2 linked regions of the Oryzias latipes genome follow. The protein of the gene in region 1 purifies or fractionates together with the protein of each later gene. This does not show direct contact. Links are inferred from orthologs where the notes say so. Each region holds a gene or a part of one and is shown on either strand. Other genes may lie near its edges.

Region 1 (4,422 bases):
AACGATGGGAAAAAAGGAGGGAGGAGCGTGAACTCACAATGTAGCGCGTTTGCCGGGCAGGCGACTGCTGGCGGTAAATGCGCACAAAGTCTGTCAGGGAGGGGCTGCGAGGGAGCAGCGAGGCCACGTCGCACCCGAAGAAGGACCGCAAGACTTGCTCAAACAGCAGCGCGACAGAAACGCATTCGACACAGCTGAGCGTGGCGTGAGGAAGCTGCAGGAAGAGGAGGTGTAAGAAGGAAACTGAGAACTCTGGAGGATGCACAAAAAAAAAAAACATCACATGGCACAAAAATCCCAGCTGCTACTTTTTAAAAACCCAACAACATACTGCCCAAACAAAGACAACACTTTAGAGGGTGGATTTTATCTTTTGCAGATTAAATGTAAATGATAAATAATCCTTTGGTTTTAGCAAAAACACATCTTTTTCACGTTTTACTTTTGTAACCCACAAATGTAATTGACATCACCAGAATCCACTTATTTACTTGAAAAAAGCGCAATGTTTAATTAACTAAACACTCTTTCAGTGTTTATTGAAAGAAACCCCGTGTTCTCTTGTTGTTGTCATTCCTTCATTATCCTTTCAACTTCGAAAAAGATGAAACCCTAAGGAGAAAAAGCTTTCAGAATCCATCTTTTCTTTGACGCTGTCAAAAGACAACACTGAGAAACCACATCTAAACCAAAACAACCACGGATTTAACAGACATCACCTCCAGCTCCTTCATCAGAACATTTATTACATGGCTTTTTCCTGAAGCCCGATGACCGTAGATGAAGATTGAGGGGTAGCAGTACTGGTGTGGCTGTCAAGAGAAAAATAACACGAATGTTACTGTCAATAATATTAGATCATTGCACCAGTACTAGGTAAAAACAACATAATACATTGAAAAATGCTCTAAATACTATATTAGTCATCACCTAAATGCCCAAGAATAAAAGGGTTACTTTATTTTATTTGAAGCGCTTATCAAGACGCTCAAGATGATTGTAAGGCAGCTTAAAATAGTATAAAAACAAGATCATTACATACAAAATATACATATTTGAGTAACACTTAGAGAAATATCATATTTCAGTACAGTGTCCATTATTTAATGAAATTATTAGCCTAATGTGACTCCATATTTTTAAAGTCCATCTCACCTGTTTCACCAAATTTCCCTTTTTATTTTTAGTTCTTGTATTTATTTTAAATACCCGTATTTTCCGGACTATAAGTCGCACTTTTTTTCATAGTTTGGCAAGGGGTGCGACTTATACTCCGCAGCGACTTATATTAGAAATAAATTGAAATAAATACATTGTTAACCCTCCTGTTATGTTCATTTGTGAGGAACAGAGATGATGTTCCTGGGTCAATTTGATGTATGAGGTAAGTGTTAAGTGTAAGTGTTAAGTGTTAAGAGTATGTTCAGTGACTCAGAGAATCAGCAAACTTTTTTTTACAGTTAGATCTTGAAGGCTAACAACATAATATTCTATTTTCCAAAGATTTCATAGATTCAGAAATGCAATAAAAGTGAAAACTGTTTCTACAAATACAGGATGAAAACAGAGTATTAGTTAGCCAATGATGCTTCATGAAAGGAATAAATAAATAAGTTTGAGAAAAAATTACTGTGAAATTATTAGATAAACAGTCTGCTATGATTGTGTCATATAAGGTTGTGAAAGTTAAAATGCGACTTATAGTCCAGTGCGACTTATCTGTGTTTTTTTCTACTTTATAATGCATTTTTGGGCTGGTGCGACTTATACTCCGGAAAATACGGTAGTCTGTAATTGTGCAAGGTGTGTCTCTATATTTTAAGTAAGAATTTAAAAATAGCAAGAACAATACGACTACGTTTCTGTCCAAAGTCTCTTTAATCTATCTCGTCTCACAAAGACTAAATTCCTATTCATGAACACACTTTTAAATAATAATAATAATAATAATAAAAATTACAACCTACTATATTCATCTTTTGATTTATTTACAAAGTGTTCCCAGTGGTCTTTTAATTATGATGATGCCCTTTTTTAGCTAAAATCAAAAACCCTCTGACATTTTCTAAGACATAGTTTCTGCAGAGCGGCAGTAATTCATTATAAATTCACGTCTGATTGTGGGAAAGACTGTTGGCACAGAGTAACCCTGCCCACAGCTCTGTTTACACTCTCCCACTATCTTTCTCAAACACCCAAACTAACATTACTGGTGCAACAAAAAGGGTGAGCAATATTGGAGCTATATCCAGCCGTACATTTGGGCGCCAGACACTAGTTTGGGCGAAGAAAACAAAGACATACATGGATCTATTTGTTTACAAGTGCATCAGAATGGAGCTGAGCAGGGAGCTTGTGTGTTTTCTACATCACAAATATACGATCTTTTTCAAACAGAGCCTTTTCGTCTGGTCCTGGATCACAATTTTAATAAAGAAATACTTTTAGAACATTGGAAAAATGCCACAAGTACATGTTACAAACAATTTTTAATGAATCAGAGTGGGTATTAAAGCAACTCCGACTGGTGTTTTAACACGAGAATGAGAATTTATGAAAAACTTTATTATTATTATTTTATAAATACATTGACTAATAATTACACTGTTTTGCTTTGGGAATTTTGTTATCAGGTGGACCTTCCTTGAGTTAACGGCCCCATACCTCTCCCATAAGGGACAGCAACATCCCAGCCTGAACTTCTCTGCAGGGCAGCTGCTCTGCGGCTCTCTTCAGCCTCTCCTCGTCGTATCCAGGATGCTCTAACAGTCCCGCCATTCTGCTTTTCTTGGTTCTAACTTTATAGTTGAAGCCACGAGGAGCTAAACTAATAAACAAACCAAAACATTAGCTTAACTTTCACGAAAATAAAGATGACGGTCGCCAGCGTTAGCGGCAAAAAAGTGAACTTGACGTCGTTAAGTCGAAGAAAGCGCGTGATACAAAACTTTAAAACACTCCTCAAAAACTACGTTTTTATCGAGGAAAAACGAGCAAATGTACTTGAAACCGGCTGCGATCACTTTGCGCGCCGTTGGATTACGTCATAAACTCCGCCTCCGTATGATCCAATCAGAAAAGTATTGTGGAACTCTGGGTAATGTAGTAAAAATCCGAAACATAAAATAAAAAACAACTTTAGACATCTTTTAAATCAAAAAGTATTTTAAAAAAAGAAACGAAATAAATAATTATACTTTATTTCATATATATCTCATAATTATGATGTGTAATTTTAAAAACGTTGGAGAGTATGCATCTAGTATGAGCTGTTAAGAATGATTTTTTTTTTATTAAAACGAGTAATTATACATATTTTGGCTAATCTGTATTGTAAATAACCTTCCTGATTTACCCATTACCCAATAAAACTTATTTTATTGTCTCTAACCTTTCACCTTTTTAGGATTATTTGTGTGTTTGTTTTAAGAAATATGATAATTAAATTTAACCAAACTAAACTAATTAGGAATACCTAACATTTATATTTTGAAAATAGACTACAATTCAGAAATTTTGTAAACGAACCTATTTAAAATTGTATATGTAGGAAGAGCGCATCCTTGTTTTTTTATGAACTTGTATTTATGCTGATCGTATCAGTCATGCGCACTGGATTGACGAGCAGAAAAATCAAAAGCATTTAGTCTTCGCATTTGCTTTCATATCAATGTGTCTGTTCGGGATTTACGCGCGTTACCGGAATAATGCGTCAGAATGGGATTAAGGGATGTGAGTTGCCTGTGTAATATCCGCAACTATCTTCCGACTCTAATTCAATAGGATCTCATCCGCGGCTGCTGCTCCGTCGAGAGCACACAGACCATTTCAGCCACATCTCAGCCACTCGTGGCAGCTGGAGCGGTGTTATCGTCTCAGGCAGAAACACCAGGAGGAGACATCAGGGGAGCGGGCAGAGGAAGCCTTCTGCAGAGAGGATTTCTCAAGCATTTCAATAGATTGTCTTTCTTTTTCTCCCGTAGATTGATGAAGGAGGAAAGCGCAAAGAGGGCTCAAGTCAAGGATGCGAGCGCGCATTGAAGACGCGTAAAGCATCCACGTAAAACAGGAAAATTAGCTAGTTCTGATGAAGATTACTACCTGACGAGGAAGAGGTTTGTTTACTGAGTGCAAATCTTAAGTCTCTTACCTCACATACACCGGAGGATGGTCCCCGGGGCCCCCAGCGCGACCACCACCATGCTTCCCGCCTCGGAGGCTGCCAAGATCTACCAAACCAACTACGTGCGTAATTCCCGGGCCATCGGCGTCCTCTGGGCGATATTCACCATCCTCTTCGCCATCGTCAACGTGGTGTGCTTCATCCAGCCGTACTGGATCGGGGACGGCGCAGACACGCCTCAGGCGGGCTACTTTGGTCTGTTCCACTACTGCATCGGGAACGGACTGTCCCGGGACCTG
Region 2 (4,534 bases), on another chromosome or scaffold:
CAAAAAGTTATATTGGAATTCCTTTAAAGTCCAATGCAATTTTGAGCAGCTGAGCTCCAAGCTCTGCCTGCTGCCCGCCCGGCAGAAACTCTGCAGACAACTCCCTGTAGGTGCTGCACACCCGGCGCTTGTGAATATCTTGCCTGCGAATGGCGTGCTTCCATCGATGCCTCGCTTCGCCGTAAACCACGACTAAACATCTGCGTGGAAGGCGAACGGCCACATGAATTTCCTCTGACAGTCCCAGCTCTGGCAGACCCTGCTCAAGCGACATGGTGAGTGTGGTGTCTGATAGCATGTTGATGGTGACGAGTCGCTCCCCCCAAAGCCAGGAGTCATCAAAGTGCGGGTCTATGGCTGAGCCCCTCTGAGGGTTGTAGTCCAGGTTGCACTGCTCCACTGGCTGAAAGCCAGACAGGCATGGCTCTTGCTGCATCCGTAGTACGAGTTCTTTGCTCAAACTAGGGAGTCCACTGAAGCCACCCACACGCACTTTTCTTTTTTTAAAGTTCACCTTTGGACCAAAATCCTGCAACCAAAATGAGAAAAATGGTTAAATTATAAATCAATGTACTTAATTTCAATGTAAATCTCTCATCATGTCTTTTCAGAAGAAAAAATGTAAACCTTTTTAATCTGACTGGGAGAGCATTACCTGTTTCCTTCGACCAGACTGGGATGGGTTCCAGGCATCCTGGTCCATTGAGTTAATCAGCTGCTTCTCTTCCTCTTCAGATATAAAGTCGTCCCATAGGAAGATACCAGGAAACGAGAAGGATGCACTCCCTGCATCTTTGCAGACAGCAAGCTTTGTCTCAGGATTGTAGATGAAATGATGCGCCGCCTAAAAAAAAGACAACAGTAAACAAATGTCTATTTATATAAATTATTACTTCACTTTTAGCCTCTTTGTAGGAAACTGAGGCAGTTTCATTCACATACTTCAGATAATGTGCTCTTTCTTTTAGCAAATATGTTAGAAAATTACATTTTGCTTTTAAACAAAAATATTAAAAATGTGGTGTTTTTTTTAGATCGCCCAAAGTGAAGTGTATTGTTCTATGTGCTGTTATGTTTAAAGTTATTCTGTTTTAGGTTTGTGGATTATTAACAAGAAACACTCAACAACAAAAAATAAAGTCTTAAAAAAAAAACAACAACTTAAGTTAATGTGAGAAACTAGTCAGGTTATTCTACACTCTTCTTCGTATAAGTTCGTAAGAAATCGTGAATAACTGTTTTAGCTTTTTGTTGTTTAGTCACACAAGTGGGAAAAATATTGGTATGAATCGGAACGACTGACAAAAGCAAACAAATTGTAACTTAAAAATTTCATGGTAAATAAAGTATTCACCTAGCATATTGATGCTTTGAGATCATGTATTTTGTCCAGCGAGGACCTCCGTACATTTGAAAGAAGCGCAAACAGGTAAATGCAGGGGGTTCAAATACAATTAATTGTTAGTTTTAGTTAAATACAGATACCTTTGGATCTTTTGTCCCCTCTTTTTCTTTGCGATTTTCGCACAAAAGACACAGCCGGATCCCTTTACATCCGCATTGAGAAACACCGTCGCTGCCGTCCGGAGCCATCATTCTGAGCCAACCGGAACTAACGTCTTGTGGGTTAAAGGTATATGCTTGTATGGTTGAAAGGTAGAGGCGCAGGATATAATTATAAAATAGTTAGATTTAGAAACCTTATCTGTAAACATTTAATTTTTTAGCAGCACACAAAATAAGTACATTCATATTTCACTAACTTTATTATCATTATCCACAATCAAATTCACTTTGAAGCTATTTTGCCTATGAGTCAAAGCTCAGGGTATATAAAACAGCACACACCGGATATAAACATTTTCCCCCGGAAGTAGACATTTTCCCCGCGAAATTTTTAGTGTCGCGTTTGTGTTCGTGTATCCTTGGTTGGTGAGTTTTTTTTATGTCCAAATTTTACGAGCTTGTAATTGCAAATTAATGAACTGAGTATATTCGTAGATTCAACAATGTTTTAATCGATCTTTCGTTAGATTTACTTCAAATATTTTAAAACCCAGAAAATGCGTCCAAACAACAACGTCAACTTGACCGTCAACGTGGCTAAAATATCTTTTGTAACTAAGATTACGTACATTATTTAGTATCACATAAGTTTAGCTAAAAATACAATCCTTAATGTAACGTTTTGCACAGTCACTTTTCCTTGTTATAATTAAATAATGCATCGAAATTTCCAAAAGTTCTAAACTCAAAGCTATTCATGATGATTGTGAAGTATATCTTAATAAAATAATGCTTTTTAGTACTTTTATTGTTGTTGTTTTTTTGTCTTACTTTGTTCTTATCTTAAACCATTGTAAATCCTGCCTTCATTGTAGCGCTTTGAGATTTTACCCAAAATATAAAGCGCATTCTAAATAAAATTTATTATTATTATAAAAAAAATGTGCCTAATTCCCTTTTGCTCGTTTTGTTCTTGTTTTGTGCTTACCGCTTTAATGTATGTTTGTCAATTTATGAATAAAGGTGGGAAAAAATGATTTGCTAAAATAGTTTTGCTCAATTTACTTATAAAACGTCTTTAACCTTTTGTTTTGTTAGTTTAAAACATGTTTGAGTGGCAACACATCATCTCTTTTTGGCTGTGGTGTTCAAATAAGCTTTGTGTTCACTTTAATTTAGTTAATTTTATAGATTATCACCCAACCAAACCTCTGAGGGACCCATCATTTGGCAGAAAATGTAAATAAAGTAGTAAGACAACATTCACCTAGATTTACAAACCTAACATTTAATTTGTTGAATCAAAGCAGAACAAAGAAGCACATTACACCCCACTGCAAGTGATTGCAGAGGTAGTATAAGGACGTTATTTAGTCAATATGACACATCACAGAAGATGCAGCTATAACATAAGTTTACCTTCTAAGTGTTTTCTTACTGTTGGGCAGGATCAGGTCATGTCTATTTTGAGAAACTTAGTTTCTCGGTCTTTATATGTTTCAATTCTGTTGTTTTAACTGGTTGTGCAGATTAAACTAAAGTGTATTGTCATTCATTCAGTCAATCCTTTCCTGAATTGTATCTGCAGTCGAACAATGGAGAAGATAACAGAGAAACTTTTACTGGAGAAAGGAACCCCAAAAACCAACAAACTGGAGCAAGTCAAGACACTAAAGTAGGAACACGTGCAGCTCTTGTACAACTACACTGTTGTAGTTGTGTTTTTGTTTTGCTTGGTAGTAAACTACTGATAGTTACTTGGACATGCAGCAAAGAATGTATTTAAAACTCTTTAGGAATAAAACCATTCTGTGTAGAGCAGGGGTGTCCAAATCCAGGCTAGTTTTCAAGAAACCCTGCCTCATCTGCTGTCGATTACCTGATTCGTGTACCGGTATGTTCAGCCAATAAGGAACGTCAATGGCAGGATGGTTGGAAAACACCGGGACACCGGCCTTCGAGGCCTGGATTTGGGCACCCCTGGTGTAGAGCCATCATAATTACAATAGAATTGTTTTTAATTGCAGGATTTAAAAAAAAAAAAAAAACCGAGGACAGCATTGTATTTAACATTGTATGGTGTAAGGAACTGACTTTGCTCTGTTCTTTAGTCTGTCTAAGCTGGGTCTTCAGCTTCAGGACCTGCCTGTTAAGCTCCTGTCCCGTCTGCAGTCTCTGGAGAGGCTGGACCTGTCTGGAAACAGACTGCAGAAGTTCCCCAAGAACCTGAAGCTTCCTGTGCTTTTCTTCCTGGACCTCAGCGACAACCAGATGGAAGATGTCACCACCTTGGAGTCTCTGAGCACTTTGGAAGAGCTTAAGATGGATGACAACCTCTACATCACAGTGAGTGCTGTTCCCCCTCTGCTGTTTTACAGAGAAGGTTTCACACAGAACAACAAATGGCAGTAATGTCACACAGGCACATAAATTATATTAAAAAAAGGATTTAAAGCAATTAACAAAGTAAAGGTATTTAATTCCACTCTTTTTGTTTTATAGACATGAAGTTGAATGTTATCTATGTTGCAGGTGAGTGATAATTATAAGCTGATGGTGTTGCTGCCTAACTTGAGGATTTTCAATGGCAAAGACGTCAGCACAACCGCCAATCATTTACGATTCGTCTACAGCGACAACCTGAGGACCAGGGTAAGAAACTGCCTTTTTTGAAAGACTTAACTTCAGTTAAAATTTGTGTTTTTGGTGTTTTTAAACTCGATCTTGTGTCATTTTTTTTGTTATGACGGAGTACATATGTTAAGAAAATGAAGTTCAAAATAGAATTTCTGAGTATTTCTTTATTTAAATTGTTGTGAATCAGGAGCAGACAAAAAAAATGCCATTTAGAAAACGTCATATTTGTTTTGTAGAGGCTAGAGTTGGCAGGCTGCCTGCTCTGCTCCATTCTGATTCATCAACTTGCAGTCAAATAGATCCATGTACATCTTTATTTTCCTGTCTGAGCTGGAATCTGGATCAAAGCTGTACGGCTGGATAGCTCCAATATCGTGCGCCATTTTTTGTT

What was found.
Region 2: the proteins of orc5 (region 1) and lrwd1 purify together in Homo sapiens (affinity purification with mass spectrometry; 4 studies listed by BioGRID and IntAct, with this or other methods). This does not show direct contact. The link is inferred for Oryzias latipes from reciprocal best matches to the Homo sapiens genes ORC5 and LRWD1.

Annotation. Positions count from the first base shown.
Region 1 is NC_019881.2:17,806,140-17,810,561, forward strand, and holds the start of orc5 (origin recognition complex subunit 5), read right to left. Parts: upstream 3,061-4,422; 5' UTR 2,779-3,060; coding exon 2,665-2,778; intron 813-2,664; coding exon 720-812; intron 215-719; coding exon 38-214; intron 1-37. Other genes in the region: LHFPL tetraspan subfamily member 3 protein, read left to right, coding at 4,168-4,422. UniProt on the Homo sapiens protein: Component of the origin recognition complex (ORC) that binds origins of replication. DNA-binding is ATP-dependent. The specific DNA sequences that define origins of replication have not been identified yet.
Region 2 is NC_019872.2:25,209,438-25,213,971, forward strand, and holds the start of lrwd1 (leucine-rich repeat and WD repeat-containing protein 1), read left to right. Parts: upstream 1-1,596; 5' UTR 1,597-1,633; intron 1,634-1,853; exon of another isoform or gene 1,854-1,932; intron 1,933-3,094; 5' UTR 3,095-3,101; coding exon 3,102-3,181; intron 3,182-3,617; coding exon 3,618-3,852; intron 3,853-4,038; coding exon 4,039-4,158; intron 4,159-4,534. Other genes in the region: alkbh4 (alpha-ketoglutarate-dependent dioxygenase alkB homolog 4), read right to left, coding at 8-529, 656-844, 1,486-1,596. UniProt on the Homo sapiens protein: Required for G1/S transition. Recruits and stabilizes the origin recognition complex (ORC) onto chromatin during G1 to establish pre-replication complex (preRC) and to heterochromatic sites in post-replicated cells.